Linked DNA regions of Struthio camelus. Each later gene encodes a partner of the first gene's protein in a complex. Links are inferred from orthologs where the notes say so. Each region holds a gene or a part of one and is shown on either strand. Other genes may lie near its edges. The genes, in order: CACNA1S, CACNG1 and CACNB1.

Region 1 (9,759 bases):
TATTAAGGAATGGAGACACAAGAAAGGAACCAAAAAACAAATACAGCCTATGCCCATGTCCTGACCTGTCTGCGTGCATGTGGGGAAACCCCACAGGCTGTGAGTAAACAACCTCCCATTGGGGCAGGAAATCAGAGAAAACAGTCAAGCTTCCTTTACACATCCACACTTGCGTACCCTTCCTTGGGTCCCTGGGTACGGAGAGGATTTGGTAGTGATGGACCAGGATGAGACACAGGGCCTGGATATTTGGGACATAGCTGCTGGAGAGAGGCAGTGTTGGCATGGGATATATGGGAAGGGACGCAAATTAAAAGGCTGCAGTTGGGGAAAAACCAGGGGATGGGAAAGCTGGCAGTATCCCCCTCATCCTGGTGGGTTGTCCGGAAGGTTCAGGATCCTGTCCCAAAATGGAAGCACTTAGCCAAAGCATCACCCTTTGGAGTGTGCTGGCCCTAGCTCCCTCTGCAGTCAATGGCATTAGGGAGACACTGCTGAGAGGCAGATTTCAGCTGGGCTATGTCACTCCAGCTAGGAGGGGCAAGACAGCTCAGTCAGGGGCTCCTCTAGCAGAACATCCAGCTGCCCTCTTATGGCCTTGAGTGCCCCAGTGTAGGCAGCACTATAGTCTGGGAATAACCAGGGCAGTCAGTCTGAGCTTTGTCCCCCTCTCTAAAAAGGTGTATTGTATTGTCTGGCCCCTGTGGCATCTCCAAATATTCTGACCTGCTGTTCCCCTCGCAAGCCCTAGGATCACTTGGTCACAGCCAGGTTCCTGCTGCCTTCACTGGTCCACCAGGCCACTGAACTCTCATGGTCAAGCTCCAGCTATCATGTTGCTGAAGCCCTGAGAGAACTCAAACTTTGGCCCCAGCATCCTGCCCAGGGCATGACTCTAACCTCAGAGATCCCACGTCTCTGTTCCTCCAGCATGGTGCAAATCTACCCTGCAGTCTCCAGTGAGTGCAGTAGACATGTGGTTGGATAGCCATCATCTTTTGCTGTCTCTCATTACCTGACTCTGCATAACTTAGTCCTTGCCCAGAGAGAGATCAGGACAAGCATAGCACAGGCACCAGTTGTGAGAATGGTCAGAAAGAGTAAGGAGTGCTCAGGACTCTTCAGAGCCCCTGACTCAAAATATTTTGGAGTACTTTGACTACCAGAAACACTCTCATGCATATGCAATATTCTCCTATCCTTGGTGACTGATTAACCCCTGGAACTGGCCACTTCCAGGCCTTGCTGCAGAACTGAAGTGCCTCTGGGTCCTAGATTTGTGCTCAAGTTACAGTACCATGCAGCTGTGCTTGTGCCTAAAAGCAAAGGGATCTTCTCCATTCATCCAGTGCCTTCGTCCTGCCAGAAGACTTCATACTGGGCAGAGCATGGGGCAAAAAAGTACATTAAACATTTTCCATCACAATGCTCACCCCAAAGTTTCCTGACAAATAATGTTTCCTGATGTCTCCCTGATTCACTTGCCTTGTCTGCATCTATCAGTAGCACTGAAAACCAATGAAACGAAAAGCAGATGCAGGAAATGAAAATGTTAGTCCACGTGTCCACTAGGCCAGACCCACCCACAGAGTAAATCAACTAATAGTAATCAGCATATCCAGTAAATCAGCACATATCCCCTGCAGCCCCTTTTCCTCACCAGTGTCCTACCATGCAACAGCAAGAGCAAGGAGTTATGACCACAGCCAGCGCCTACCCCCACAAACTGTTTTGAGATCTCTCTCATCTCCATCCCCACCTGTAATTACGAACCTGCCTGTTTCATCTCCATCACTTGCAAACTGATAAATCTCATCTATTGGGTGCAGAGGCTTCCAAAGCACAAGATGGGATTTCTCAGCATTTTCATCCTACCTTGGGCAACCCTTCAAAGTAGCACAGCTCCCAGGAACCCCTCTGTGGGAACATCTACAACTCAGCCATGCAGACTGATACTGCTACAGAGCTCAGCACAGTCCTCAAAATTCAGTACCTCAGAGAGGGTCCTGCAGCCATACTGACACCTTCTCACGCCATAGTTAATTATGCTGAGGTCAGCCTTGGGCTGCACTGGCTATACTACTATCTAACCCAGCATCATGGAGTTAGAGCACTAAGGAATATTCTCTCCATCTCCATTTTGGCCTGCTGAGCTGACCGACTGCTGCCAGTTGTGTCCTCCTGTGTTGGTCACAGTCAGGTTATTTTGCCTTTTCTGGACCCTTCTGGCCAACAAATTGATGATACTTTAAAAACTAAAGTCAGCTGAAGAAGCTGCCCTCCTCTGTGCCCCAGGTAACAGAGCACAGCCCAAGGGCTAGAGATTTCCCTGCCTGCTCTGACAGGGTGAGATGAGCAGTCCACCTTGCCAGCACTCATTTCAGTTTCCATGTGGTTGTGAGGATGCAAGAGTGTAGGGATCAGTTCAGCATCATGGAGCAAGTTGGTGAAAGCAATGGAAAGAGGAGCAGGAACCGTGGCCCACATCCTGCCCCAACAGCCACTAAACTGCAGAAGTCCTTTTCTTGTTCCCCTGCTCTGGTGAAAACAGCCACATCCTCCTCCTTGAAGGGAGAATTATCTTGCAATCAGAGGTGAAGTTGAGACTCAGTGCTCTTCTATTATCAGGTTGCTGTAGGCAAGTCCCACATTGCCTGCCAGTGGCCATGAGCCTGGGACTGTTATTAGGTAGATACACAGTGGGACAATTCAGCCAGCCAAGAGTCAGGTACTGTCACTGAGGCAAGCGGGTCTCTGATAGAGTCCAGAGACTCAAAACCCTCCTCATCCCCTTGCCCTGCAAATCTCACTTCTGCTCCCTAGCAGCCTCCTGCCATGCAGCATTCGAAGGAACCAACTTCAGCTTCACAGTGGGAATTAGGCACTCAGTGCCTTGCTCATGGTCCCCAGACTCACCCATCTGCCTTAAAAGTCCTCCTGACTACAAAATGACCTGGAATACCAGCACTCTCCTGCTGCCTGAAAAGACCCTGTCCTAGCTCTTTGCCTCAGCTTTGTGCCTCTGACAGTGCAGTTATTATGCAGTAGAGATGAGGCCAAAGAGCAGAGATGTGTAACCTGATCCCATTCACCAGGTATCCCCACAGAAAATGGTCACACTAGTATCCATTTGGCAATTGGTCTGGCCATGAAGCTCATAACAACCCACAGGAGCTGGAACAACCCCGTCATGCCTTGTAAACCTTGATCCCTGAGTGAGGGGAGGCAGGTGCATTGGCATATAAATATAGCCAGGCACAAGAGTGGTGCTGCTGAAACCCGATGCCCAGAATCGTCCATCTCCCACAGGTCAGGACTACCCGCACCTGTGGCCTTCCTGGTGAAACATCTACCTCTTCCCTCCATGCCCCTTGCCCACGTCCCCAGTGTGGGAAAGGCCTCCCTCAGTGGGGCTCTGCAGTTGCTCTGGCATATGTTGGCCCATCAGGAAAAATGTTTTTGAGTATGCTGGAAGATATATATATATATTATTTCCAGCTCTACCCCTGCCATTAGGGTCTACAGACAAGTTCCTTCCATGCCCTGCACCCAGACACAGACACAGCTCTGTGCTGTGCAAAACACCCCATTCTTCAGCTGAAGAGAAGTAGAAATGGAGAATTCCCCAATTTTGGCTCTGCTGCCTCTCCGCAAAGGTCAGAGAGCCTCTTTGTGCCACATAGGAACAAGAGGGCTCAGACTCCATGCCCTGAAAAGCATTGCCAGGTGGTGTGAGCATGCTGTCAATGTCTGCAAATGGGCAGCCTGGGCTTTGAGCAGGACAGCATCAGTGGTGGTGCTGGCGCATGGTTTTGGTGCCCCTGTAGCACCACATATACCACACTGCAGGCAGTGTTTCCCACTAGCAAGGCTTGGCTCTGCAGCCCCCAGGCACAGGATGAAGGCTTGCTCTGGTGGGGTGGGGCTGCCCAAGCTGCCCTAGAGGGGAGAGGACCCTAGACTGGGAGAATCCCGTCAAGGCCAGGAACACCTAGATGCATTCAGCAACTGAAATAAGAAAAGTTGGGATGGAAAGACTGGATTTCCTGGAAATGCCCCAAATCCTATCAGTGTTAGTTGAGCCCAAATGTTTTGTTGAAACCAAGTGAAATGTTTCCTGTCCCGTTAAGGCAAAAATGTCCTATTCCACAAAATACAAGCTGTATTTTAAACAACCAAGGCCATGTCTAATGGACTAAAATTATTCCTGGATGGGTGGCAGAAACATGACATTTTGCCACTTCCAAGCTAAAACACCCCAGTCAAAGCATGGCCAACTAAAGAGCAACCATCACAAACCCATCCGTAAATTAAACCAAGGGCACACAGAGATACCATCTCTCTAAACAGCTTCACCCATGAAAGCCTTCACGTGTGACAAAAGTGGTGGAGAGGGAGGAGATAAGGAGATTGAGACAGTAACGGTGTCGGCAGGGATTTAGAGGATGCTGGCTAGCTGCCCACGGCCATGGCAGGGAGTAGCTGCAGGAGTGGGCAAGCGGTGACACACACACACAGCCATCTCAAGCAGCTCACCGTGGTCTCTGTATCCATCTCCCAAGCCCCTCTTTCCTTAGGCTGGCCTGTCCTCCCAAGCTGCATCCTCAGCACCTGCTCCTCCATCCTGGCCCTCCTCTTCTGCCCGGCCCATCCCAGCTCTGGGACAGGGCCCGTGCCCCCTCCTCTGACACCATCACTCTCCCCTTCTGGCAGACTGTCCCCTGTTTATCCTCAGCGCAGCTCCTACCAGCCACAGCCAGCACAAAACATGGGTATGCATACATTCCTTGCCACTCAGGCTGTCCCCTCCTGTCCCCAAAACACCCTGCTGAGGATCCCTATGGTCCACTCCTCAGCCCTATCTTTCCCACTAGCCTATTCGTGCCCCCAGGTTGCACAGCCGTCACTTCTGCCAGTGCACCCTGCTGGGGCTGCCCAAGCCCTTCCTTGCTTTTCCTTGCTCCCTCGCAGGCCTGATGAGACAGCCACCACAAACAGCACCACCATAGCATAAGCAGAGACAACTCACAGACTCAAAGTGTGCTGAGGACTTGCCTGCCTAACAGCCCCAAGGGGTCCTGCTCCAGCAAGCACTCCTCTTCAGCACCCATGGTCACAGACATGCACATGCAGGCGCTACCAAGCCCACCAAGCCTAAAGGATACTTCCACTCCACGATGCTGATGCATGCCTTCCGAAGTGGGTTTTGCAGGGTTAAGCAGAACAGAGCTCTGGCTGGCCGGGGGGCTGCTGGTGGCACTGGCTTCTTGGACTTCTCCTTCTGTTGCCTCTTCTTTGCATCATCTTGGGGAGATGCAGGCTCCATGGTGTTTCTCCCCTAGCTGCCTCTTCCTGCCTCACAGCCAAGTCCCCCTTCCCCAGATCCTGGCCAGCCAGAGACCCTCTGGGTCTTCCTTCCTGCTAAGCCTGTCCCTTCTGTGCACCGGGGGAGGTCATGGGGGAGTGGGGGCTGGAGGCTGCACACGCATGCACAAATGCACAAAGCATGAGTTTAAAATTAGACACTAGCCTGGCTCCCGGGTGCTGTCACAGTTCCCGAGGCAGCAAAAGGACCCCAGCAGCTGTTGCTTCTTTACCCGGCTTATCCTAAGGCAGATGAGTGCTTTGCATGCCACCGAGCCAGGCGGGGGGTGGGGACGGGCTGCCCAGAGTCAGGTGCACACCCTCCCAAGGAAAATTGCCCTCACCCCGGGTCACCTCTTTCCCCAACTCCCTGGGCCTTCCACGCCCAAGTAGAGAGACTGGGCTGGCTGGGGGAACGCATGTGGCCCCATCTGCTGAATTGCACTTCTTGGGTGAGAGGGAGAACCTGACTCTGGCCAGTGGGACACTTCCTCAAGGAAGGTCATCCCACAAACTGATCAGCCCTGTCTCTCTGCAGGATTTCTCCTTCATGTGGAGACCCTCAGATGCAACCTGGTCTCTTGAGCCCTTGGCCCTGTGACCCCAGGGCTGTGGTACCTCTGGGGATGGGTACGTCTCACAGACAGGAACTTTGACCCCAAACTCAGAGCTCCTGGGAGTGATGCTTAGCCCAAAGTATGCCTTGGCTGGCACTCATCACCTCAGACAGCCCCTGGTCAGCCTCATCTCTTCAATTCTGCTTGTAGGGCAAGGGGCATGCCTGGGACATGCAGGAATACAATAAGCCTAGGGTGGGCTGTGTCCTGCTCCAGGGACGTCTTGGAAATCCAGCTGGGCTTGAGAAAGCCCAACTGGATATACGGACAATGCTGGGGACTCCCAAGCTGGAGGTGTCAATGCACATAGGGACAGAAGGGGGTTTTCACTACCTTTTCACAACAAGGGAAACAGAGGCACCAGGAAGGGCAGTGCTTGGGGTTTTCCTGCAATCCAGGGACTGAGTTAGCAGAATAGTTACACAAATTTTCTTACTTACAGGTATGTCCCTCAGCAAATGTTGTCCCTGTCCTATGGAGATGCTTCAGCCTAATGTAACCAGACAGCTGTGCCCAAGTCAACCCGTGTCCCAGGGGGAGCTCTGCCCACTGTACCACACTGCCTTGCTCAAAGCTTCCTTGCCTCTGTTTTGCAGGGTCATTTCACCAGCTGCAGAGCAGGCTGTGCCGAGGGCCACGGTGCCAAGCGAAGACAATCATTCCCTCCTTTGTGGCCCATGGCAGGAAGACAGCATAAGAGAGCAACTCCTGCAGCTGCTCCAGCCCATTTTGACACTCCTGGAGGGGAGGAGGCCTCAACTGTAGAGGTGCAAAATCAGTAACCCGCCCTCTCCTACACTACTCTGCTGCATTTTATGCAAAAAAAATAGCCAGAGTCAATTTATTCCTGCCCAGGGCTCCAGCCTCATTTCTGTGTCACAGTGGCAGGTCCAAACATGCCACTGTTTCTCCTCTGGTCTTCGTTCCTCCCTCCTAAGCACTGCTGAAAGCCATGAGCTGTATTTCTGCTTCTGCCTGTGCCCCTGCCAGGAGCGCCCATTCCTGGACTGTGTCCTCCCTATCAACGACAAGGATTTGGGGTCCACCTAGTGGCGAGCCAGAGGGCAGGCTGCAAGCATGTGCTTGGCATGCTAACGCTGACAGTGGGCGCTGCTGCCTGGCATGGCGTCTGCCCCAACTTGCCCTAGGGCTGTTCTTAGAGCTAGGAAACTGTTGGTTCCTTCTCAAGAGGCCTCTGCAGGGGATGAGAAGAAACATCTCCCTTTCGATTCATGCTGCAACAGCTGTCCCAGAGGATGAGAGCATGGTGGGAGATCTGCTGCAAGCAAGGACCTGGAAAGGACACTCAAGGTCTCTCTGATCCCCTCCAGAAGCCTTCATTCACGATCTACTCACTTTTGAACTCTGTATCTCCATCCTTGGAGATAATCTGAACTAGACTGGGTAAAGCCCTGAGCAACTTGACCTAACCAGACCTACTTTGAGCAGGAGGTTGGGCTCAAACACCTCTGGAATGTGCCCTTCTAATGTACCTGATTCATTTATTCTCTTCCACACACCCCTCTGCAGCTGTTGGGAACTGCTTGCTGCCCTTCTGTGCTCTGTATTTTGCATGGGGCTGTGCTGACAAGCACTGACTTCACATGGCTTTAACAAAAACTGCCAGAGAGTGGTCCCTGCAGGCCAGGGCTCATCCTCCTCCACATCATCCAGGCATGGCACAGCTGGTGCCAAGGCCAACCATTTTTGTGTCTCCCATGTGACCTTAATTAAACTAACTTCAGAGTTAGACGAAAGCTGAACCCTCATGCTTTGAGACATAACAAAAGGACTGGGAGAGGGTGGGGAGCACTGCATAGTTACCTGCAGGGACTACACTTACCTTCCTCTACAAATCAGCCAGAGGTAGCAGAGGGGAGATGCTAGCTTGAGGACAGGGCTTTCCTGCTCCAATCCCTCTCTCACTTGCTGTGTAGCAAATCACTCTTTCTGTGATCTCCACTCAATGGATATATTCCTATGTATCTCGTAGGGGAAGGCTGCTTCCTCATGCAACTGAGGCCTCCATCAACAGGCTAGGGGCCAAGGCCAGCATGTTTTCTTCACCTCTTCGCTCTTCTTCCTCATATCTTTCACAAGCTTCATGCTCATCTTCTACTCCTTCACCACACCTGCACAAAGACATGGCGTTAGCAAGGGTCAGTGCCTGTAGTCCCAAACACAGTAAGCCCATGACAGAGCCCTACTCAGCTTGGAAGGAGAAAGGGTTAACATGGGAGCAGGGACTGCAGTAGAGCCACTCCACCACTGCAGCCAATCCCTTTGCAATAGCTGTGTTCCACAGGGCAGAGACATACGGCCTCCCAGAGGCAGAGCGCAACCAGATTGGCCCAGGCCTGCCAAATCAGAAAGGCTTTCCCCTACTATCTTGAAGAGCAAGGGATAGAAATGGTCCCTGCACTAGCCATTCTCAAGCAATATGACCTTGAAAGCAAACATCTCCTGACATGCACAGACATGTGTGTGTGCCCCCTGCTCCCAAAGGCTTCCCCTTTTCCCAGCCTAATAAAATGTACCTCCCTGCTTTGACACCTGGCTCCTGTAGGACCTAGACCTAGCTGTCACAGACCCTATGGGCTGTCTGAGCACAAGGCCAGACTATGGCAGGGAGTGTGTCCTTCTCCAGGACAACCACGGCTTTTCCTTCCTGCACGTGACACCCAAAGTCAAGGCCACAGCAGCTCATGGGGACCTTTAGCAGTGGCCAGAGTCCCTGCAGCAGCTCTTCCAATGTTATCCATGTGCTGGGGGCCCTTGAGGACCAGGGAGTGGGGCTGGCATGCCAGGCTAGAACCCAGCAAGGGATTAACTCCTTCTAGAGGGACATTCCCAACAGTTAGAGCAAATCAGCTGTTTCGCTGCAAGAAGGGGCCTGAGCCATGCCACTAGCCTCCCCCCGGGTCTGGCCGCCTCTCGGGGGCACCTCACATCCCCCTGCTGGTGCCCAGCCAGGGCTGGCAGGCAGGGGACAAGGGGATGGAGCAGGCCCCGGCCCCAGACCTCCAGCACATGCCCTCCTGCAGCCAGGGCTGAGTCAACTCTGCCCTAACTGAGCCGTGGGGCACGTACTGGGGAGAGTGGGGCCCAGAGCTCCCCCCGGCTCCGGCTCTCCGGTCCCCAGAAGAGCTGCGCTGCCAGCCAGGAGGCGGGGGGGGGGTGCGGCAGGCCCAGGCCCCGCCCCTGCCCGCGCCCCCGCCCTGCTCCCTCCCCCTCCCCCTCTGGAGCTGGGGGCGGGCCCAGCCTGAGCTGGCGGCCCCTTCCCGCTGGGGTTCCTGCCACCGCAGGGCCTGCAGAGCACTTGAGCGCCACGGGCCCTGTGCTTGTCCTGGGCGCAGCTCAGCCCCACGAGCCCTGGGGCAGCTCCGCAGCCCGGCCTGGGCTGCACAGTGGCCTTGGGATGGGGCCTGTCCCTGCAGACCGAGCCTGTGGGGCCCTGTCCCCACAAGACTGTGCTAGCTGGGCTGTGCCCCCCACTCTGACCATGTCTATGAGGTCCTGTCCACCCCCAGTCTGGCCCTGTGTCCCCCAGATGGAGCCTAATGGGCCCTGTCCCCCCAAGATTGTGCTTGGGCTGAGTCCCTCCCCCGAGCAAGCCTGCAGGGCTCTGCCACCCCTCCCATTCCAGACCTTGCTGCTGAACTTCCCCCTCCCCACACCAGAAGGTGCCTGTTGGCCTGTCCCCCCACCCAGATTGTGCCTGTGGGGCTCTGTTCTTCCCCCGGACCGTGCCTGTTGGACCCCATCATCTCCGCTGTCG
Region 2 (9,759 bases), on another chromosome or scaffold:
TAAAGAGACCACTTACCAAATAAGCGGGCCAAGAAAGGCTCTTCATTATTTTAGGAGAACGAACCTGCAGCTAAAACGTTCAGGCAGATAGAAGTAGTCAGTCCTAAAGAAGTATTGCCAGCACTGTGTTCAGAAGGGCTGCAGAGCTGGTGCCAAGAAAAGCCCTCGTTAGGTTGAACGGGTGTATCTGCCCCTGGTTATCCGAAGGAGTCTATTAAAAGAAAAATACACACACGCGGGGGCCCACCACAGCAGTGTGAGGTAGGCTAGGAAGCTTGACTATTGCTAAGGAGATCCCATTTTAAGTAGGCTGCTTGTATGGCTGATTTGCTGAAAATACATGTAAGCTGAGAGCAGACCAGGCCCAATCTTTGCCGCTCTAAATAGCCCTGAAATTTGGAGAGGTTTAGATTCAAATTTTGCGGCGCAGGCCCTCTCTAAATCTGCACTAAAGTAGTTTAAAAACATAGAAATATCACATAAAGAAAATAAGACAAGTGCCCTGGATTCAGCAGACTGTGGGGGGCTTTCCCTGCACGGCGCTGCATTAGCTATTCTCTTTCACATCCCCACACATGCTCAGTATGAATTTCCCTTCGTGTCAGCAAGGGACACAACAGACATTTGAAGACACAAGTCTAGCGACTTACTTGCTGCAGTATGTCAGCCTAGAGAAATGACAGCCCCTGCCAAAATGGATTATTCTTCATTTTAATGCATAAAAATAATTACTTCAGAGGCCTGTGCAAATATATAAAGCCAAAGAGATTGGCCCCCACAAATCCCTCTAATCAGGGGTGGTTTGTACTTACCTGATAATGGTCTTTCACATAGTTCTGCAAGAAAGGAACCGCAGAATTCGATTAACCTGGTTGTGGTAAATACTGGGTCTGTTCTGGAAGAAATATAGGAAAGCACAAATTTTGGGGAACAGACCCAAGCCAACGACTCTGCTAGGGACAAAAGAATGCCATAGCTGATCTTGAAACATTTAGCATTTTCTGCAGGAGAGAAACACAACCAAACACAACCATGTCTCTCACACTCACTGCTGCTAAAGTGCAACTAATTATAACCCTCCCTGCTTCCCAACAGGTCCTCATTAATACACTGTTTATATTTCATGGGATATTGATTTTTAAATGTAGCTCCTTGCCAGCTGAAGCAGGGAGCCTGCTGGAACCGTTCAAGAGAGGACTATATACGGCAGTCTTCTAGATCCGCAGGCAGGTTTTGGAGTCTTCTGCTCCTCTGGAAGTCAGTTGTGCTTCTGCATTTGTTAGACACTCACCCAGCCACGGAGCGGACAGTAGAGGCCACCAGGCCCCCTAGGGAGGCCAGTTAAACCTCCAAGGTGGGATAAAAGTTCCATGTAGATTTGGGAAAGGGGCTAAACCTTTTGGAGACAAGGCAAGTCTTTCAGAGCCCACACAGCACATTCTGAAGCCAAGCGGCTTCACCGAATCCCTGCCAGCTGTCCCCAAACACACCCTGAGGCTCTGGCACAAAGAGCAGAAAGCAGCACCTGAGTAGCGTGGGTACGTCTGCTCTTCTAACACATGGAACACTATCCCCACAAAGCATTTTCTCTCTCAGGACCACTGGCTCCAGCTTATGTTTTTAGGCCAGGGACAATGACTCACCTTAGCCTAGGTGACTTTTCAGCCTCCAGGGAAGCCTCTACATCTTGCACTGAAGTTCATCCAAGCTTTAGCTTGTTCACAGTCTCGGGTCCTCTCTGCAGAGGAGAGAGAGGGAAGGATGACTTTTCTCTTTATCTTTTTGCTTTAGTGTTTTCCTGGTTATTATTAGAAAAATAAGAACAAAACAAAACTGGGGGGAACTTATCCAGATTGTAGTACTTGAATGAGAATAGAAGACGTGATTCTTGCCAACACTGGAGGAGACACAAAAACCAGCAGTAACAAAAAAATTAATGAGTTCCCACCCTTTCAGTCCTTACAGCTTGTAATTAGTCTAAAGTGTGATCATTAGCAGCTGCTTTCTCAGCAACCAAAAACTTGGTTGCAGTTGCTTTCTCAGCAACCAAAAGCTTGCTTTGTGCCCGCACTTGAAAACATGCATTTCCCATGCTCAACTTGCTGAGGACCTGCGGAGTTTCTAGTGTCAAGGAAGTAAAGTCAAGATGCAACTCAAAATCGACTGATGTCTAGTGAAATTTAGCAAGAGTCTACTTTAAAAGAGAAGACATTACATTTTTAATGCATTCTTTTTCTGTTTTAAAGTCTGTTCCCTTTAGGCTTTTCTGCTTTCATGAGAACTCTTGGCTCTGGGTAAGAAAACAGAAATGTAAGTCTCCATAATATTTCTCTATGTGTGACATGATTGCAGTGGAGAGGTCTCTACTTGGTTGGACAGTCCTAACTTGCATCTTCCCCCCTTAGCAACAAGACAGAACGGGCTTTGCAGAACAGCCTCTTGGTCAGGTCCTTCTGAGGGCACATTTTAGTGCTCCAGTCTTGGATCTGCCTCTTTGCAAAAATAGAGAAATCAGTCTCTGTTACTCTTAGCATAAAATTTCCTTGCAAACTGATATAAACGACTCGCTCTATTCAGCGCCTTTCTCAGCGGAGCTGTAAGCAGGTGTTGTTTGGGACTGTTGTGCCTTCACCCTGATTGAGTCACGCTGTGCTCTGCCATGGGCTGAATGAGGGCCCGCAGCCAACCTACGCTGGCTATTTCCATGCTCATGGGTCCGGTTTCTGCACAGACTTTTTAAATATTTGGGAGTCCTAAATATGAGAATCCTTTCTGAATTGTGTGGCTGCCAAATTGTACATTTGTTCTCAAGACCTCTTCAGCTGCTTCAATTTGATCCCCTTTTATACTTGATATTCAAGGGTGGGGCGGTTTCTAACCTTTTTCGAAGACCAGCTCTGGAGAGATTTCCAAAAAGCAAACTCCGTTGGGGAACAACTCTTCAGGGAAGAGGTCACAGACTCGATTCAGACTATTTGACTCACTCCAACCATGGTGCGAAAGGGGCTCATACCCTGGCTTGTGCTGGTTTCTGCTAGCTCCTGAAACCCTATGAACATCGCAAGGGCTCTCTGATGGTTTGAAGCCCAAACCCTGCACATGGCACTCCCTGAAGGAGGATATGAGCTCTCAGAGCAGCATCGAGCCAGGGCAGAGCTTCTGGACAGCGTGGTTTCACTTCTCTACAGCTCGCTGGTCGCCGTCCGCGGCAGTGGAGCAATCCGCGCTAGTGGGCTGCAAACCAGCTTCCAACCCTTTTTCCCCCAGCTTAGCGCTTTCGATCAGCGAGTCTAAAGCACTCTGCTGACGTTTTACCAACCGCCGCGTGGTGAGCCAGCTTCCTTTGGACGTGCCGCTGCCCCCAGGTCCCCGGCCCCGCTCCTTGTCTCCTTCCCCTCCTGCCTGGTGGGTTTTCCCTTCGCTTCTTCCTGCGGCCATCACTGACAGGCAGATAATTCTTTTAAATCCTATTTCAGCTACAGTTATTTTGGATCATTATTTTTCTAACTCACTATTTTCTTTCCATTGCCCGCAGCTCCCTTCTGCCTTTAGTTCATTGCTTCAAACTGTCCTCCTTAATTCGAGACGACACCGCCGTACCTTTTATCTTGACACTGAACCGGGGTGTTCATGAAACAGCGCTGGAGTAGCTCTGCCATTATCTTGACACGATAACATGATATTTGCAGATTTCCGCTGACATTTTTCAAGCCATCGTCTTGACGTTCAGGTGCTGTCGCCGTCACCGGTTCGACATCGCAAGGGTAATGTCACCCCCACAGCGGCCTCGGCGTTGGCGTTATCAGGAAATTACTTTCCTGATCAGCTTAAAACATCAAAGGCAAGGAGAGAGGCCGGGGACATCGAGGCTTCGGGGCAGGGGAGTCGCTGCTCGGAGAAGGGGGGGTCTGCGGGCAGCGCCGCGAGGGCCGGGCGCTGGCGTGCGGTGCGCCTCGCGCCGGAGACGACGCAGAACGCCAGGGCTGGACAGAGAGGAGCCGACATCGGCCACAGAGGGCAGTTTGAAGGAGCCAGCGATACCAGTTACGATGAGCACCGAGGCAAACCCCGGCTGGTGGGAAACGAAGAAAGCGCTCCGGAAGGTTTAGGATGAGAAAAATGATTCAAAAGGCGCAAAAAAACAGGTGTGAGAAAAGCAATTTAGTGATTACGCCTTTTTCTTTCGGAAGAACCGGAGTGAGCTGTGAAAGCAAATCAACTTCACTCAGTAGTTCCCACTGTAAAACCAGAAAAAGGGTCGGCGGGGCAGGGGGGGAGAAACGCCAAACGGTTTTGTTCCAGCGGTCTCAAAGCACAAAGCGTCTCGCGCAAACTGATGAAATACGTACTTGCCGTACTTTATACATCGAACTTTGGGTATGACAAAATACAGCTCTCAAACCATCAGCGGCTTCAGAAGTGAACCAAACCGTTTTCCTTCGGCCTGAACAAGACATTTGGGTTAATTCAAAAAAATAAACGTTCTCGTTAAAAAGAAACCACCCCCCCCCCCAATTGCTTCAGCCACAGCCCGTTTATTTTCACCGCCCGCAACGGGGCTGGGGCGCTGCAGCGCCGTCCGGCTCGAAACTTCTCCTTACAAACGCTGACGCGAGCCCGAGGCGCGTTGTGGGCTTTGAGTCTACCCTCCCGCTATTTACAGTCAGGCCCAGCGCTATCACAAACCCACATGGGTGGTTTTTTTTTTCCCCCCCCCCTCTAACCTAGCCGAAAAAGTCAACCCTTCCCTTCATGCCTATTTCTGGGCAGGCTGCAAGACCGCAGTCCCCTCGCGGCGGCTCTAAGGCCGGCTCGCGGGCGACCGCCAGCCAAAGCCGAGCCCGCCGGCCGCAGCCGCGCGCCCCCCGCCGCTGACGCCTCCCAGCAGCTGCCCCGGCGGCCGCCGCGCCACCTGCTCGTCCCCCCCCCCCCAACCCCTCCTCCCCTCCAAACGCGGCAACGCTGACGTTTGAAGACGCTCGGACGCGCCGGGGGGGCGTCGGGAGATCAGCGGCCCGGCGGCTCCACGCCAGCGGGCCCGGCCAGAGGCCGGCTGGCTCGCGCCCGCCCGCCGCGCCGAGCAGCATGGACGAGAGCAAACCCCTGAAGATCCGGCTGACTTTCTCCGTCATCCTGGTCGGCGTCTCGCTCCTCTTCGCCGCCGTAGTGACTGACCACTGGGCCGTGCTGAGCCCCAAGGTGGAGGAGTACAACGCCACCTGCGAAGCGGCTCATTTCGGGCTATGGCGGCTCTGCACAAAGCGGATTTACGTGCAAGAGCGAGGCGCCGGGGAGAAGGGCTGCGGGCCCATAAGCCTGCCGGGAGGTACGTGACGGCGCTCGTTCCCCAGCCGCGCACAAACCGCACGAGAGAAAGCGTCAGCGGTGACTCCAGGCGGTGTTTAGGAGGTTACGGCACACGGCAGGAACAAAATACGGTGTCTCTTCCCCCCCCCACCCACCCCGGCTCTTAATCTGACAGGGCGCTGCACGCTGCTTCGCTTTCGTATCACCCTGCAAACGCCGCTCGCTCTCATTTCTCGTGCTGTGCATGTGCGCCGCCGCGTTGCCTTGCCCATGTATTTTTAACCATATTTTAAGCCGTCGGTCCCCTGCGCGGCAAAGGGAGCGGCGGGTAATCAGGGAAAAGGATCGGACACGGTGGAAATCACGGACTGGATGGAGGATATCGTGCCGACATCTGCCCAGGGTCCCACGGCACGCGGGCAAACCCACGCCACCTCCGACGAGCGTCGGCGGAGGGAGGATTTGCAGGACTGGGCCACCCTGTGTGGCTGAAGCAGGAGGGTTTCCTGCTTCAGCTGGCTATGAAGGAACAGCTTGTTCATGACAGTTATTAAGTTATCCACGGGCTATTTCAATAACAGTCATTGCTTGGGGCTGCGAGCAGGGCTGCGGTTTGCCAGCTTCCAAAAAAAGGCTGCAAACGGAGTTAGAAATGATTTGTCACTGCCTTCCTGAGCCTCCTTACCTTGCAGCGAAGGAAAGCCCGGGCTCTGCAGCTGAAAGCAGCCTAATCGGATGCATTTCTTCATTGCAAGGTATTCCACCGAAATCAATAGGAAGGGTGGCAGAGGAGCGATCCTAGCTGGTTTCCAGGAAGACCCTTACATTCCCGTGGTAAAAGGAGCTCGTTATATGTTTGCTGATTGCAAAGTCAGCAACATTCACGCAGCGTGTACTAATATACCCTAGCCGTGACTGAACTACGCTGCTTTTTGGGAAGGCTGATAGGGAACTGGCTTCTTTCCAGAACAGAAATAACAGGATTGCCTTCACGTTAGCCTCGCTGTTTGAAATGAAATATGTATGTTAACACATATTTGAAGAGTTCTTATGAAAATCTTGCTGCCTGTGTTTAGTGTATATTCTCTATGTTACTGCAATTCTTTATCTGTTTGGCAGAATTATTTATTCTGAAGCGAGGAGCTAGCCCGCAGCATTCAGATCTGCCTCTAGCCAAATTTGGGAGCGCGTGATCTGGAAACTTAACGTCTCTCGTGTAGGCGCTTACATATTCCTCGCTGTAGGCTTTGCTTTGCACGTGGACAAAAACTCACACAAAAGGAAAATAATAGAAATTGGTTGATAAATGCAAAATTGCACCAACTGCTGGATAAATATAAAACTCATAAATATCCAGCTGTCTCTGGAAAGCAGATTCACAGGCAGGGCAGCCCGAAAGGGGCTACTATCTTTGACAGACATCAGCATGTGCTTGCACAGACGTTGAATCATGTCCCCGCGCTGCCTTTCTAATGGGCGCAGTAAAGGAACGGGTAATTGTGGAGCTACCGAACCGAGCCCTCCACGGGCAGCTCGGCCACACCATGGGCAGCTTGTCCGGCTGGTGTGCTTTTGTGGTGTTGAAAGATAGTCTAGAATTTGGCTGAAGTCCTGGGTCAAAATAAGCTTCTGAGGTTTCCAGCAGCCTTCACCTTATGAATTACATCCTCACCTCTTATAAAATAAGAATTAAAGCCCTCATTTTACTTACACAGAGGACATGGCATGGTGAGGTGACCAAGAGCCCAGCCACCGAGGACGGCAGGCTGCTGCCACGCTGCCTTTGCAGGTCTCTCCTTAGGTTGATTTCCCAGTTTCGGAAAGATGTCAGCAGAGAATCACTGCGCTTGTGAAGCCTGCGAATGACCAAATGTGGCGTAAAAGAGCGCATAGGTGGAAATCAGTTTTCCTGAAAATCATGAGACATAATCAGACATTACTGCTGTCGGTGGAAAAGAAACATAAGAATTTATCACTGTATTAATAACCATTTACTAGTCACTCTTAGGAGGAAATGGATGGCACTATTAATATTATTTATTAGTTTTTGAGCTTAGCGCAGTGCAAAATGTGGAAGATGACTTGGCTCATAATCTACAAAACAGGCCTGTGATTTAAGCAAAGATGTTTAAAATTTAACAACACTCTTCAGAGGATGTTGACAAATTGGAAAAGGGTTTGGCATGCTGCTGTGAGGAATAAAAATATCAGGGAGGTGACAGTTAAAACTTGGCAGATTCAGATTAATGTAGGGACATTTTAAACTGTGATCGATGGACCATTGGAGCCATTTACTAAAAGGTGTGACAGAGACCTCTGTCACTGCCAACCTTTAACTCCAACATAGGTGTCATCCTAAAAAGCATGCTCTTGTGCAACTGCAAGTTGGGTAGCACGAGTGATGCTCTATAGCCTGTGTCTGCCACAAGCAGGTTAAATCATTCCTGTTAAATATATGCATCTGAATTCAGGCAGCTGGAGTCTGACAGGAAAATAACTAGAGCAAATGAGTTAACCAAAAGGGTGTCACATTCCCATCCGTACAAGAGACTCACCCTGCAAGACTACTATGAAGTTAAACTATTCGGAGCTACCATCTCCAAAACTCAATGATGTGTTTCAGAGCCCCTCCTCTGGCTTCCCCCAGCTTTGATAGCCAGGTGGAAACCCAGGGTCTAGCATCCACCATCACTTAGTCCTCACCTTAACCCTCAACACCTCCTCTAACCATGGCAGCAGGTCCTGTCCCCCATACTTAACACAAATGACAATCTCAGATTAAAAGCATCCCTCATCCAGATCTTCCTAACCTTCCAGCATGCCACAGATACCCCAACGCTATCATCCTTCTCGGGTTCAAGAGCAAACCTGACTCCAACCCCTACTCCATGCTGATCAGTGATGGCTGCCACCCCTTAAACTCTGCATGCCCCAAACATCTGCTTCTCTACCCTTCCTTCCTCCAGGAGGACTCCACATTGTGGCACTCAGAGGCTCAACCTCAGAGGCTCTTGTGTTACAGCTTCATCTTGTGGCTGCCCTCAGGCTCCCCATGGCTCTGCGTGGCAGGAGGGATTGGCTCTGCGGAAACAGAGGAAAGAAGAGTTAGCCCATTTCCCCACGCACAGAAGTCATCCAGGAGTCGTGGATGTGAAGGGAAGGGGCCAGGAGTGGTGTAAGCAAAGGTGACCAGGAAGGGGAGGGCAGTGTGTGATGAACCACGCTAGTCCTCTGAGTTCACACCTGCCCCTCAGGACTTCAGAGCCCCTGGACTGGGCAAGTCAGTGCAGTAGGTGACATCATGATAGATATTATGCAATTAGCAGTGGAGAGAAACCAAGATTGCCACAAAGTTTTCATCCATTATAAATCTCATTTTAAATCCTATCCATTATGTAAATGTGGTGTGACACAAATGGGCTTTTCTCTAATTCGTGATGACCCCCAGAGGGACTGAAGTCCCTCAGTTCTCTTGAATAATAGGGGACTTTGTTGATACAGATATTCCCAGCTTAGCAGAGCACCAAAGTGTCTTTAAACTGAAAACAGTATACCACTTCACCCCCCAAAAAAATGGTTTTGTTCTCCCACAATAACTGTATTTACCAATACGAATACCTTCCCAAAGCTAACTCACTTGTGTGATAACCCCATTTATCATACCTTTCAAGAGCTTATGCTTTAAGCCACAACATGCAGAACCAGCCTCTTTTCCCGAAGATGAGTCCCTTTCTGAAAGAGGCTTCCCAGCACTCCCCAGCTGCTGACTCTGCTTGGGCAGGAGGGGGGACTCCCTTGGCTCAGCCAAGCAAGGGGAGACTTTGGAAAAGCACCTGCTTGAAGACAAGGGCTCCTTAGCATGAGGATAACACAAATAACCATTTCCTTTTTTGCCTTTTTGCCTGTATTCTAGTTTAAAAGCAAGTACCACTGAAAAATACATCAAGGTGTGTGCTAATTTCAGACCCTTTGCCATCTTCAGGAAAGAAACAGATCCTATGCTGAACTACACAACGTCCTGTAAATCTGATTTTTTTAATGACTTATGCGTCATATTTTATTGCTGGGCAATACTCTCGCGGTGCCCATGTTTGTGGGTCACTCTAGCTATTCAAAACAGAAGCAGGAATGGTCCCCTCCACCATGCATGATTTTATGATGTTTCTAATCCCATCAGCGGAGACTCTCTGCCTCCCTGCTCATCCATCGAAGCGTTGCGCTGACCCACACTGAGCCAGCTGCTCTCAAACCAGGGCAGTGTTATCCACTATTTATCTGTCACATACATAAGTTATCCATCTGCCATCTACACAAAACTGTGAAAGTCACACCATAGCTGGACGTGTTTGACCGCTGGTTTTGTACAGTCAGCACCCTCAGGAATTCCTTTCAGTTCACGCTTTTCTCTTCATAGAATAAATTAGAAGCCAAACACGAATTCAAGATGAAGTG
Region 3 (9,759 bases), on another chromosome or scaffold:
GGGACCCCAAACCCTCCCAACATACGGGGAGCTTTGCGGGATGACCCCCCCCCCACATCTATCAGGGGATGGAAAGGCTGGGGGGGGGACAGAGGCATTCGTGCCCTCTGAGAGGAGGGCACAGCCCACGCTTGGTGACCCCTGGGGCCAGGGCCTGTCCCAAACCTCTCCTCCAACCTCGGGGGGCAACAGCCATACTCCCCCCAGGCCAGGCCAGGGCTCGGGGGCTGACGGTTGCAGACCCCTCCACACATCCTCCGTTGTCCCCGGGGGACAAGGGCCATCGCAGCCACACAGGTGCCTGACCTCCAGTGTCCCAGAAGTGAGACCCAGTTCTGGGCCTCCAAACTCCCTTCCCCTGGGCCACGTACTGTGGCTCTGGCAGGGAGCAGTGAGCATGGGGACAGGACGGAAGAGCTGGCTGTGGCCAAACCCCCGGGACCAGCTCTGCCCCCTTCCAGCCCCGCAACCCTCCGCAATCAGCCCTGAAGGGGGCCATGCCACACTGTCCCAGGGATAAACACAGCAGCCTCGTCCCCCTGCTAAGAGCTGGACTGGGATGACCCCCAATCCAAGGAGACTCCCAGGACACCCGGCTCCCTGTCCCGCCAGCCCTCCTCACCTGCCGGACGAAGCTGTTGGACGTCGTGTCAGAGGAGGTGCTGCCATCTGAGCGCTTAAAGCGGCTCTTCCGCTTGCTGTACTTGCCCTGCGGAGAGGAGAGCCTGGTGAGTGCTGGAGTGTGCGGGGGACCGCGGCCTGCCTGCCCCCTTGCTCGGGGGGCCGCCGGGGGGCCGCCCCTGCCCCTCCATCCCCAACCACTTCCCCACCATGAAGGAAGCTCCATCCCTCTCCCGCTGATGGCCAGGGAGCTCACTAGTTCTCACAGAGAGAGAAAGGAAACTGAGGCAGAAAGCCGGGACAGCCCAGAGAGACCGCGAAAGAGGAGGAACCGAACGCCCTGCCCTCACGCACCCACAGCTTTCAGCTGCACCCGGCACACACAGCTGCAAAACACAGACCAAGCCTCAAACCACAGGGGCTGGCGGCACCGTCTGTCCCATCCCAGAGCCCCGCGCAGAGCACCAGGCCGACCTGCCGGGCGGGCGTCCCCGGGTACCGCGGCGGGGCTGCTCTCCCCCAGCTCCGCGTGCTGCCCCAGCGCGCCTTCCTAACGGAGCTAATCGCCCTGGCAGCTCATCCCCAAGCAGACGGGAAGGTGTAGGCCCCTTCTGCTGGGCGGGAGCGGGGTGCAGGGGGTGCTCACAGGCTAACCCCAGAGGTGAGAGCCAACAGGCACTGCAGCCCTTCCCAAGGAGGTGGCGCAAAACCTCTTTGGCAGGGGGAAACTGAGGCAGGGAGGCAGTGGGCTGGGGGCCCTGCACGGTGTCTGCTGTGCAGGGGAGGTTCAGTCGGGCCCATGTCCGAGGGGGAGGCCGGACCCTGCCGCTCCCAGCAGCTCCGGCTGCAGCAAGGGAAGCAGACGGCACGCGGCCCCCTCCTCAGGCCGTCCCCAGGGACCTGGCATCGAATTAGCCACTAGGCTGGGACTAGTCTCCATGGAGAGGAGAGGGAGGCCACAGGGCCTGATTGGATTTGCGGGAGAGCCCGGCTGCCTGCGTCTGGCTCCTCGCCGCAGCGAGGGGACAGCCACAGCCACCACCCCCAACACCGCTGTCCCCAATGCTGCCAGCCCCGGGGACCCCTGCAGCTGAGGCCGGCTGCCTCGGGGGCAGCTCTGAGCTCCTGGGGCTCCTCCTGCCCCAAGAACCTGACCCTGAGCTGTATGGGGGGAGCAACCCCACCGGTCACCAGCAGATACGGGGGGAACCATCCTGCCCAGGCTCCAAGCAGCACCCTGCGGACGGGGTGGTATCACCCGGGCAGGCAGCGAGGAGCCGCCGAGGCCTGGGCTGCTGCGGGGCGGTCATGCAACAGGCACCCCGAGCACGCCTGCTCACACGCGGGCCCTGCACACGCACGCGACGCTCCGACCCACGGCCCTCGCCCTTCTACAGGCACATCCCCACACCTCCGTCCCCGTGTCCGAGCCCCGCACAGGTTCATGCACGCACGCCAACACACGCGCCATGCCCTGGCAGCGGGCTCGCACACGCGTGCTCTGTGTAAACGGCTGCACACACGTGTGCCATCCACCACAAGCACGCTCCCCCCACCCTGGCTGACACCTCCGAGCCCCCAAACTCGCACCTCTCCCTCCCAGCACCCAGCCGGCTTGGCTGAGCCCACGGCTTCACAACTACCTGTTTGAACTAAAACCTCCCATTTCTGCCCCGTTTCCTCATGTGCCTCCTGCTGGGGCAAACTGGAAGAGACAGCAGCTGCCCCAGGGCCCCCCAGGCCTGGCAGCACCTCCTCCGGGGAGCCGCCAGGCCCGGGGGAACGCAGAGTGCCCCGCGGCTGAGTGGGTGCTGGGGTGCAGTCGCGGGGCAGAGGTGGGGGCAAAAGGCAGGGACATGCCGGGGCAGCACAGAGCCGCGAGCGAGGCTGTCGCCTCCCCGGCGTCTCGGAGGGACAGCTGGGCCCAGCTGCCACCCAGCCCGGAGATGCGTGGTCCCTGCACAGGGCAGGACCTGATATTTTTAGGTTCTTCATCCTCAACTCCCCCCGGCCCCCCGCCGACCACCCAGCCCCATCCGTCGCTCGGAGCAGGCGACGGACGTGGCTCAGGCTCAGCTGCAAATGTCCCCGGGGGTGGGTAGGCCAGCAGCCCTGCTGCCGGCGTTGGGTTAACCACAGCCATGCAGAGAGACGCCCTGGAAGCGGCAGAGATGTGGTCTGCAAAGCTGCTGTCCGCCCAAGGCCTGGCAATACCATGGGGCTGGATGCAGCCAGGGCCTGCTCCCCCCAACCCGCTGTCACTCCAACTCGCTGATGCTCCCCAGACAGCGAAGGAGGGGGGGTCTGTCCCCATGGAGGTGGCTGGCAGTGATGTGGGGAGGGGACAGCATCCAGCCAGACCATAGGGACGAAGTGCTGAGCTCCACTCCCAGTCTGGGATGCCCCCACCCCACATCGCCTGCTCCCAGAGGGACGAGCCAGAGACGCATCCCTTTCCCACAACCCCTCGCACCTGGGCTGAAGGGGACTGGGCTGGGGGGAGCTGCCACGCACCATATCTATGCAGAGTTTGCCCAAATCCTAAAAGTTTCCCAGTGCGCAGACACCTCCTCCCCACACCCCAGGGCAGCCCCTGGGCTGCAGACACCCAGCTCCCCATCCGGCGCGCTCCAGGTGGGCAAACCCCTTGGGAAGCGGTGACACAGCAAGCAAGCGACACAGAGAAAACCCGTCCGTGCCGACCCCAATGTGCTCTAACCCCTAACCCCTGCTGGGGGTAGACCCCCCCTCGGGGTACCTGGCATGAAAGGGGGGGATCCCACTTGGAGTCCCCCCCCAGCAGTTTGGCCATGAGTGGGAGCCACCCTATTTTGCCTGGTAGGGGCTGAAATCTCCTCCCTCCCAGGGCATGGGGGGGCCGAGTCACACCAATCCCCCCCCCCCCCCCAAATGCGGTGCCGCCAAGCCGGGGGGATCGATGGGGCTCGCCCCCCACCCTGTGTTCAGCTGCCTGCGGCTGTGCACGGCAGCACTGGGGCCGATCCCCCGCTTCCCGGAGCCCCCTGGGCTGTCACCTGCAGGGCAGCGTTGTCAAAGACGTCCATCTGGATGTCCTGCGTGGAGCTGTATGGGGTGCGGGCCATGCCGCCTTCCCGCACCATGGAGCTCGCTGGCGACAGGGGACGGGGCCCGGGCCTGGCCTCCGCAGCACCGGCCCCGCGGGGCGAGGACGGCGTGCAGGGAGCGGGGGGAGGAGGAGGAGGAGGAGGAGGAGGAAGGAGGAGGAAGGAGGGGGGAACAGCGGGCCTCCGCCTCCGCCCCCGCCCCGGCCGCTCCCACCGCACTTCTGGGAGGGACGGGGGATGCGGGATGCAGGCCCCCCCGCCCCGGTAGGGCACCCCCCAAACAGCACCTTCCCCGGGGCAAGAAGGGGAGGCAGCGGCTGGGGGGGGGGTGATTGGAGGATAGGGGGAGGTGGAGGATCCCCCCCACAGTGCGGGAGTCCTGCAGCCGTGCCCACAGCAGCTTGTGTGCCCAGGATATGCAGGCTTTCGCTCCTTCGCTGCGGGGGCTCGCTGCAGGGAGACGGGGGACACGGGGCCCTCGAACCTTTGCATGGCTTGAGAGGGGGTGCAAGGGCAGCTATGCCCCCTTCCCCAAACGTCAGCACCTGCACCTGGATGTGCCCCGTTGCGGGGAACCCACAGCTCCCTCAGGGCAAGTTTGCTCATGGCTTCTCCTAAACCTCTACTTTCTCCCCCTCATCCCATCCTCAGATCCTCCCCAGAGCAGAGATCTCTGTGGGGTCTCTGCAACCCACGCTCAAAGCACCCCATGTCCCCCCACATGGCCCATCTGCTCCCCAGGGGCTTCCATATCCAGATATGGAGGCATCTGCATGGGAAAAGGCACCCCAGGCACCTCGCAGCCACAGGGGGACGTCCAGGGGCTCATGGGCCCCGCGTGCAGTTGGGGAAGGGCTGTACTTGGCACCCTCTTGCCCCCAGTGAGGCTGCAGCTGCTCTGTGCTCTTGGCCCTCAGGGACCCGCGAACCAGCCCTGCCTCTTCGTGCCAGCCGGCGCGATGGGCAGACCACGTGTGCCCGCTGGCAGGAGCTGCTGGCAGGCAGTCTGGGATGCGCCTCACAGGATGTGGCCTCCTCCTTCCTCTGCCCCTTTGGTATATTTGTCCTCTTTAGCCCTGGCATCCCTGAAGAGCCTGTCAGTGACGGGTGCCATGGGGCAATCACCTCCTCCCTACTTAGCACTGGTCTGAGACCTCCCACACTCATCTCATGGAACTGAACTGCAGGAGCTGCAGCCACCGGCTTTCAACCAGCTGTTGGAAAGTTAAAAATTCCTCGGGATCCCTCCACCCCTTGGAACTGGGTCTTTTTGGCCTCCCAGATCCCGCAGCTGCGAGACAATGTGCCCATGGAAGCAGGACAGCTGACGCCACATTTTCCATTATTAGACCCCATCCATCACCGACACTGTAAGGTGCCTATGACTGCACCTCGGCACCAGCTCATACTTCATCTCAGCCGGACAGGTGGGGAAACGAGGCTCAGAGGGAGATGAGTTGTCCAAGGTCAGGCAGTTCGTCAGTGGCAGACCCAGGGGCGCAATGCAGGAACCCTGCTAGAGTGCAGACTCTGCCCAGCCCTAGGTGTTGCGCGTGGGTGAGGGCAGGAGGGAACCAGTTTGGACTTCAGGACTTCCTTGATCCCAAATTTGCAAGTTTGTCCATCCCCTTTGCCCGCCTTGTCCAGGGCCACACTGCTTTGGGAGCTCGAGCCCCCAGAGAGAGGCTGGTTTGGGGGAGATGTGGATCCAGCTGGGAGCAGAGGGTAGTGTTTAGGGTGCCCCAGGAGGCAGAGCTGGGTGACAGGGCAGAGGCAGCAGAAGGCCTCTGCCAGCAGGGAGCTGGGAAGGAGGCGGAGGGTGAAGACACCATCCCCCGGCAGCTGCGGGGGAGCATAACACAATTACGGTGTCTCTCCTTTCACGCTGCCAGAGCAACTCTGCTCCCTAGGCCCTCCCCGCTGCTGCCTGTGCGTAGGAGACAGGCGCTGCTAAGGACTCAGCATGCCAAAGCTGTCCCTGGCGGGTGGCTCACCTGGGGCAACCCGGTGCCTGCCCAGCCCCTGCCAACTGCTCCCAATGGATCTCACCTCCACAGAGCTAATGCACTCGACGAGTCAGTGCGGCCACCTCTGCAGCAGCGCAGGGAGGCTCTGCTGACACAGAGCTATGGACTTGCCTGTCCAGCGTAGGACGCAAAGAAAGGAGAGGGAGGATGAAGAACTGGCACATCTCCTCAGACCTCCTTGGAGAGCATCCCTACCTGGGCTGCTGCAAATCCAAGCTGAAACCTTCTCTCTTTGTATCTGGGGTCAGACAGGTCTCTTCATCTCTGGTCCCCTGGAAAGCACAGAGCATAAGATGATACTTCCGTAAGACTGAAGGACACACACACACATATAAGTAGGAAGGTATAGGCACTCTCCTGCCTCCAGCCCTCACAACTGGCCAAGTGACTCGTAGTGGCAGGTTCCCAGAAGTGTTAGTAGGCAAAATCCTGGAGCTGCTCCTGGGCCAGTAATTAAAGCCTAGCCACTCTCCTGTCTCAAGAGCCTCCAGATTTTGCTGTTTGTTTTATGAAAATGATGACTCAGTTTTTAAACAGCAAAAGCCTGTGTTTATCTGTGTTTTTCTCTCAAAATGCACCAAAAATCTGTTGCCATCGGCTCCTCTTCTCACGCCATATGTTGACTGTGTTACGTCCGCCAGATCCAAAATGATTTGTTAGCATCTTATCTTGGGTGTTTAACAAGGAGCCTTTGGGGACAAGTGGGGGACAACTTTCCAGGCACTTGCAACCTTCAGCAGTTTAAAGGGAGGAGGGAAAAAAACAAATACAAAATTACAAATCTGGGCATTATTTAACATCTGGGTTGTTAGAAAGTGACATTTGTGCTGCACCAGTTTGCTTTAAAGTGGAATTTCAGTCACATTCTTTATTGCATTAAAGAAATCCCTACATTTTTTTTTTTTATACCAGTTACAACGTATATACTATCATTTTGCAAGCTCTTCCTTTTTCCAGGAACTCTTAAACAATCTGTTCCTGGAGAGGCTCCAGCACTTTTCTAGGTCATTTCTTTGAGATAAAGGATGTCACTTGCCACTGGGCCCATTTCTAGCCTTACTAGTGCATTTTTTGTGAAGACACGTCAGGCTGGGAGAGATATAAAATGTGGTTCAGGCTGCCCGTGCCTTGGTTTTCCAAATGTGAAACGGTACCAGTGATACATTCAGACCTCGCTTGTGCTTAGGTTACAAAATGCTGGGAAGGCCAAACGTTGTCTACCAATACCAACCCTCACACCGCAGCCTTGTTAGTAACCATGTCAAGAGGTAATTTCATAGGAAAAATACAATTCCTCTCTTTTCTCAGCAGCATTATGACCTAAGTAATGACTGCAAAAGAGGTGGTACTTCATTCACACGCAGAAACGAAGCAGGAGGCAAGATCGCAGCTAGGCACTGCACTAACCTCTGGATAGTCACACCACCCTCTCAGCTGACTTCCTGGAGATAAAGGAACCACAGCAGATGAATGCTGAAGACACAGAGATCCCATTTTCTTGCTACAAACAGCAATATGAAAAACTGACATTAAATCCTTCCTACTCTATAACTTCCCAGGCAGGGTGGAGACGGCAAGGAGCGCACCTACGGCCTAAAACCACGGTCGAACCCGGGCTGGGGACAACTCCCCTCCGCTCAGAGGGCTGCTAAGAGGCCTTCAGAGAAGCCAGGGTGAGCTGCAGAGGGCAGGGCCAGCTGCAGCTCCCTGAGCAGCGACGCCCAAGAAGGCTGTAAGGCCTGAGGCGTCGCAACGGCCTCTCCACTGACCCCAAAAGAGAAAGACCCGCAGGAAAAGGGGCTTCTCCACAGGCAACAAGGAGCTCTCAGCAACCTCGGAGCCCTGCCCGGGCAGCCCCAGGGCATGCCCGTGCTCCTCCGGCCCAGCCTGCCTCGGGCCCAGCCGTGTCCAGGCCCCATTTATCCCAGTTTCACCCCCACCCCTCACCTGCACCCTGCACCCACCCCCTACCCCGCTCCCGGCCACCGCGCATGCGCGCAACCCGCCCGGCACCCCGCCACTGCGCAGGCGCGGCGTGCCTCGGCCTGTACCACGCCGTGGGAGGAGGGGGGGGGCAGAAAACACATCTCTTCCCCCAAACCTCGAGTGGGTTCAGACCCTCCCCTCCGCCGCTTCTCCCCCACCCGAGACCGGGCCGTAGCTCTTTTCCCGCCCCGCTTTGGGCCGCCCCACGGTTGCGGGGACGGAGCGGGGCGGGGGGGGCGGAGCGGGGTGGTACGTGCCGAGCGCCCGTCGCGCTGGCTGTGGGCGCGGCCGGGCCTGCTGCCTCTTCCTCTCCGCGCGGGTGCCGGCGCCGCCGCCATGAGGTGAGCGGCGGGGCGCTCCGCCGCCGTCCGGCCTGCGGGGGCCGCGCTGGCAGCGCGATGGGGTGGGTGGGTAGGTGACCGCGGCCACCCTCGCTAGCGGCAGGGGCTCGGCCCGCCGCGCGGGGAGGCTCCCGGCGCGGCCTGTGAGGCGGCCGCGGCCTCCTCGGGCCTCCGGGGGAGGCGGGGGGAAAATGGCGGTTGGGGCGCGCGCTGGGGGGGGGGGGGGGGCGAAATGGCGGTTGGGGCCCGCGCTGAGGAGGGGGACGAAATGGCCGTCGGGGCCCGCGCTGAGGGGGGCTCGCCGCGCAGAGCTGCGCAACGCTGCCCCTCGGCTGCGGCCGCCCCCTCCCCGCCGAGCAGCGCTGTCTCCGCGGTGCTGCCTGCAGCCGGCTCCCATCAGGTTGCGCTTCCTCGAGGAGGAAAGCTCCGCGCCGGCTCGAGCGGGCCTGGGTTCGGGCGCTGCGACGAGGCGGCGCGGTGCTAAGCTGTGCGCGTTGTTCTCCTCAGTATGCTCCGGCTCCAGAAGAGGCTGGCCTCCAGCGTCCTGCGCTGTGGCAAAAAGAAGGTCTGGCTGGATCCTAACGAAACCAACGAGATCGCTAATGCCAACTCTCGTAAGTAATGAGCCTCTCGGTAGTGACGTGGTTGGCTTAGGGGAGATGCTGACCCTTGAACAACTGCTGTGTGCTTCTTATCTTTCCAAGGAGACACGAGCCCAGTAGCAGAGTTTACAACGTTTCCAGCGCGCTCATAAAAACGTAGTGCCTGGCGACTTCTTGGTAGCGACTTTAGTATGTGCTAGCCACTAAAAATAACTAACGAGGGAGAAACGGGCTGGAAAACGAGCAACTCAAGCTGCATGAGTGGTCCTTGAGGAGAAGGTCTGCCTTGTCCTTCACGTTGGATCCTTTTCACACAAGCTAAATAGGGATCTCTCTTTGCTTAGCGTCTTTCTTTGCTTTTGTTACACATGGTATCATGAACGTGGAGTTTCTGTCTTTAGGTCAGCAGATCAGGAAACTGATTAAGGATGGTCTGATCATCCGCAAACCTGTGACTGTCCACTCTCGTGCCCGATGCAGGAAGAACACCTTAGCCCGCCGAAAGGGCAGGCACATGGGCATCGGTAAGTGCCGACTTCCCCCTGAGAACTGGAATAAATGTCTTTTTGCATGGTGTTTGGTTCACCTCCAAGCTTGTCTTGAGCAAAGATCTCCAGAGGTCTGGTGGCAAGGCCTAAAAACGCAGCTAGTACGTTAATGGTATCCTTCTCAGAGTAAAAAGGATTAAAGGCTAGAGCAAAGGGATATTGTTGAACTTGGAGAAACCTGGACATGTTCTCATCCTGTCCCATCTCTCCAGGTAAGAGAAAGGGTACGGCCAATGCTCGTATGCCTGAGAAGGTCACCTGGATGAGGAGAATGAGAATTCTCAGGCGTCTCCTCCGCAGATACAGGGAGTCCAAGAAGATCGACCGCCATATGTAAGCCTGCCATCCTAGTTGTCAGCCTTGGGAGCAGGGGTGTGGTGGGGAGAGTGTCCATGCACTTAGGTACACCTTTCTTGCTGCATGAAGCTTCTGCAGCCGGTTCATTGGTGTGGAGTATGCTGGTGAAAATAAATCCTCTCCAGAAAGCATGGCACTGGAAAACTGCTCCAGAATAACCCTGACAGTTCTCCAGACAAGCTCCCTTCTGG

What was found.
Region 2: CACNA1S (region 1) and CACNG1 share a complex: the UniProt entries of both Homo sapiens proteins name them as parts of the calcium channel complex. The link is inferred for Struthio camelus from reciprocal best matches to the Homo sapiens genes CACNA1S and CACNG1.
Region 3: CACNA1S (region 1) and CACNB1 share a complex: the UniProt entries of both Homo sapiens proteins name them as parts of the calcium channel complex. The link is inferred for Struthio camelus from reciprocal best matches to the Homo sapiens genes CACNA1S and CACNB1.

Annotation. Positions count from the first base shown.
Region 1 is NC_090965.1:2,384,923-2,394,681, reverse strand, and holds the start of CACNA1S (voltage-dependent L-type calcium channel subunit alpha-1S), read right to left. Parts: upstream 5,327-9,759; coding exon 5,166-5,326; intron 1-5,165. UniProt on the Homo sapiens protein: Pore-forming, alpha-1S subunit of the voltage-gated calcium channel that gives rise to L-type calcium currents in skeletal muscle.
Region 2 is NC_090960.1:4,232,190-4,241,948, forward strand, and holds the start of CACNG1 (voltage-dependent calcium channel gamma-1 subunit), read left to right. Parts: upstream 1-4,816; 5' UTR 4,817-5,085; coding exon 5,086-5,326; intron 5,327-9,759. UniProt on the Homo sapiens protein: Regulatory subunit of the voltage-gated calcium channel that gives rise to L-type calcium currents in skeletal muscle. Regulates channel inactivation kinetics.
Region 3 is NC_090966.1:6,438,889-6,448,647, forward strand, and holds the start of CACNB1 (voltage-dependent L-type calcium channel subunit beta-1), read right to left. Parts: upstream 5,922-9,759; 5' UTR 4,314-5,921; coding exon 3,657-4,313; intron 710-3,656; coding exon 623-709; intron 1-622. Other genes in the region: RPL19 (large ribosomal subunit protein eL19), read left to right, coding at 7,598-8,061, 8,569-8,675, 9,065-9,187, 9,424-9,544. UniProt on the Homo sapiens protein: Regulatory subunit of L-type calcium channels. Regulates the activity of L-type calcium channels that contain CACNA1A as pore-forming subunit.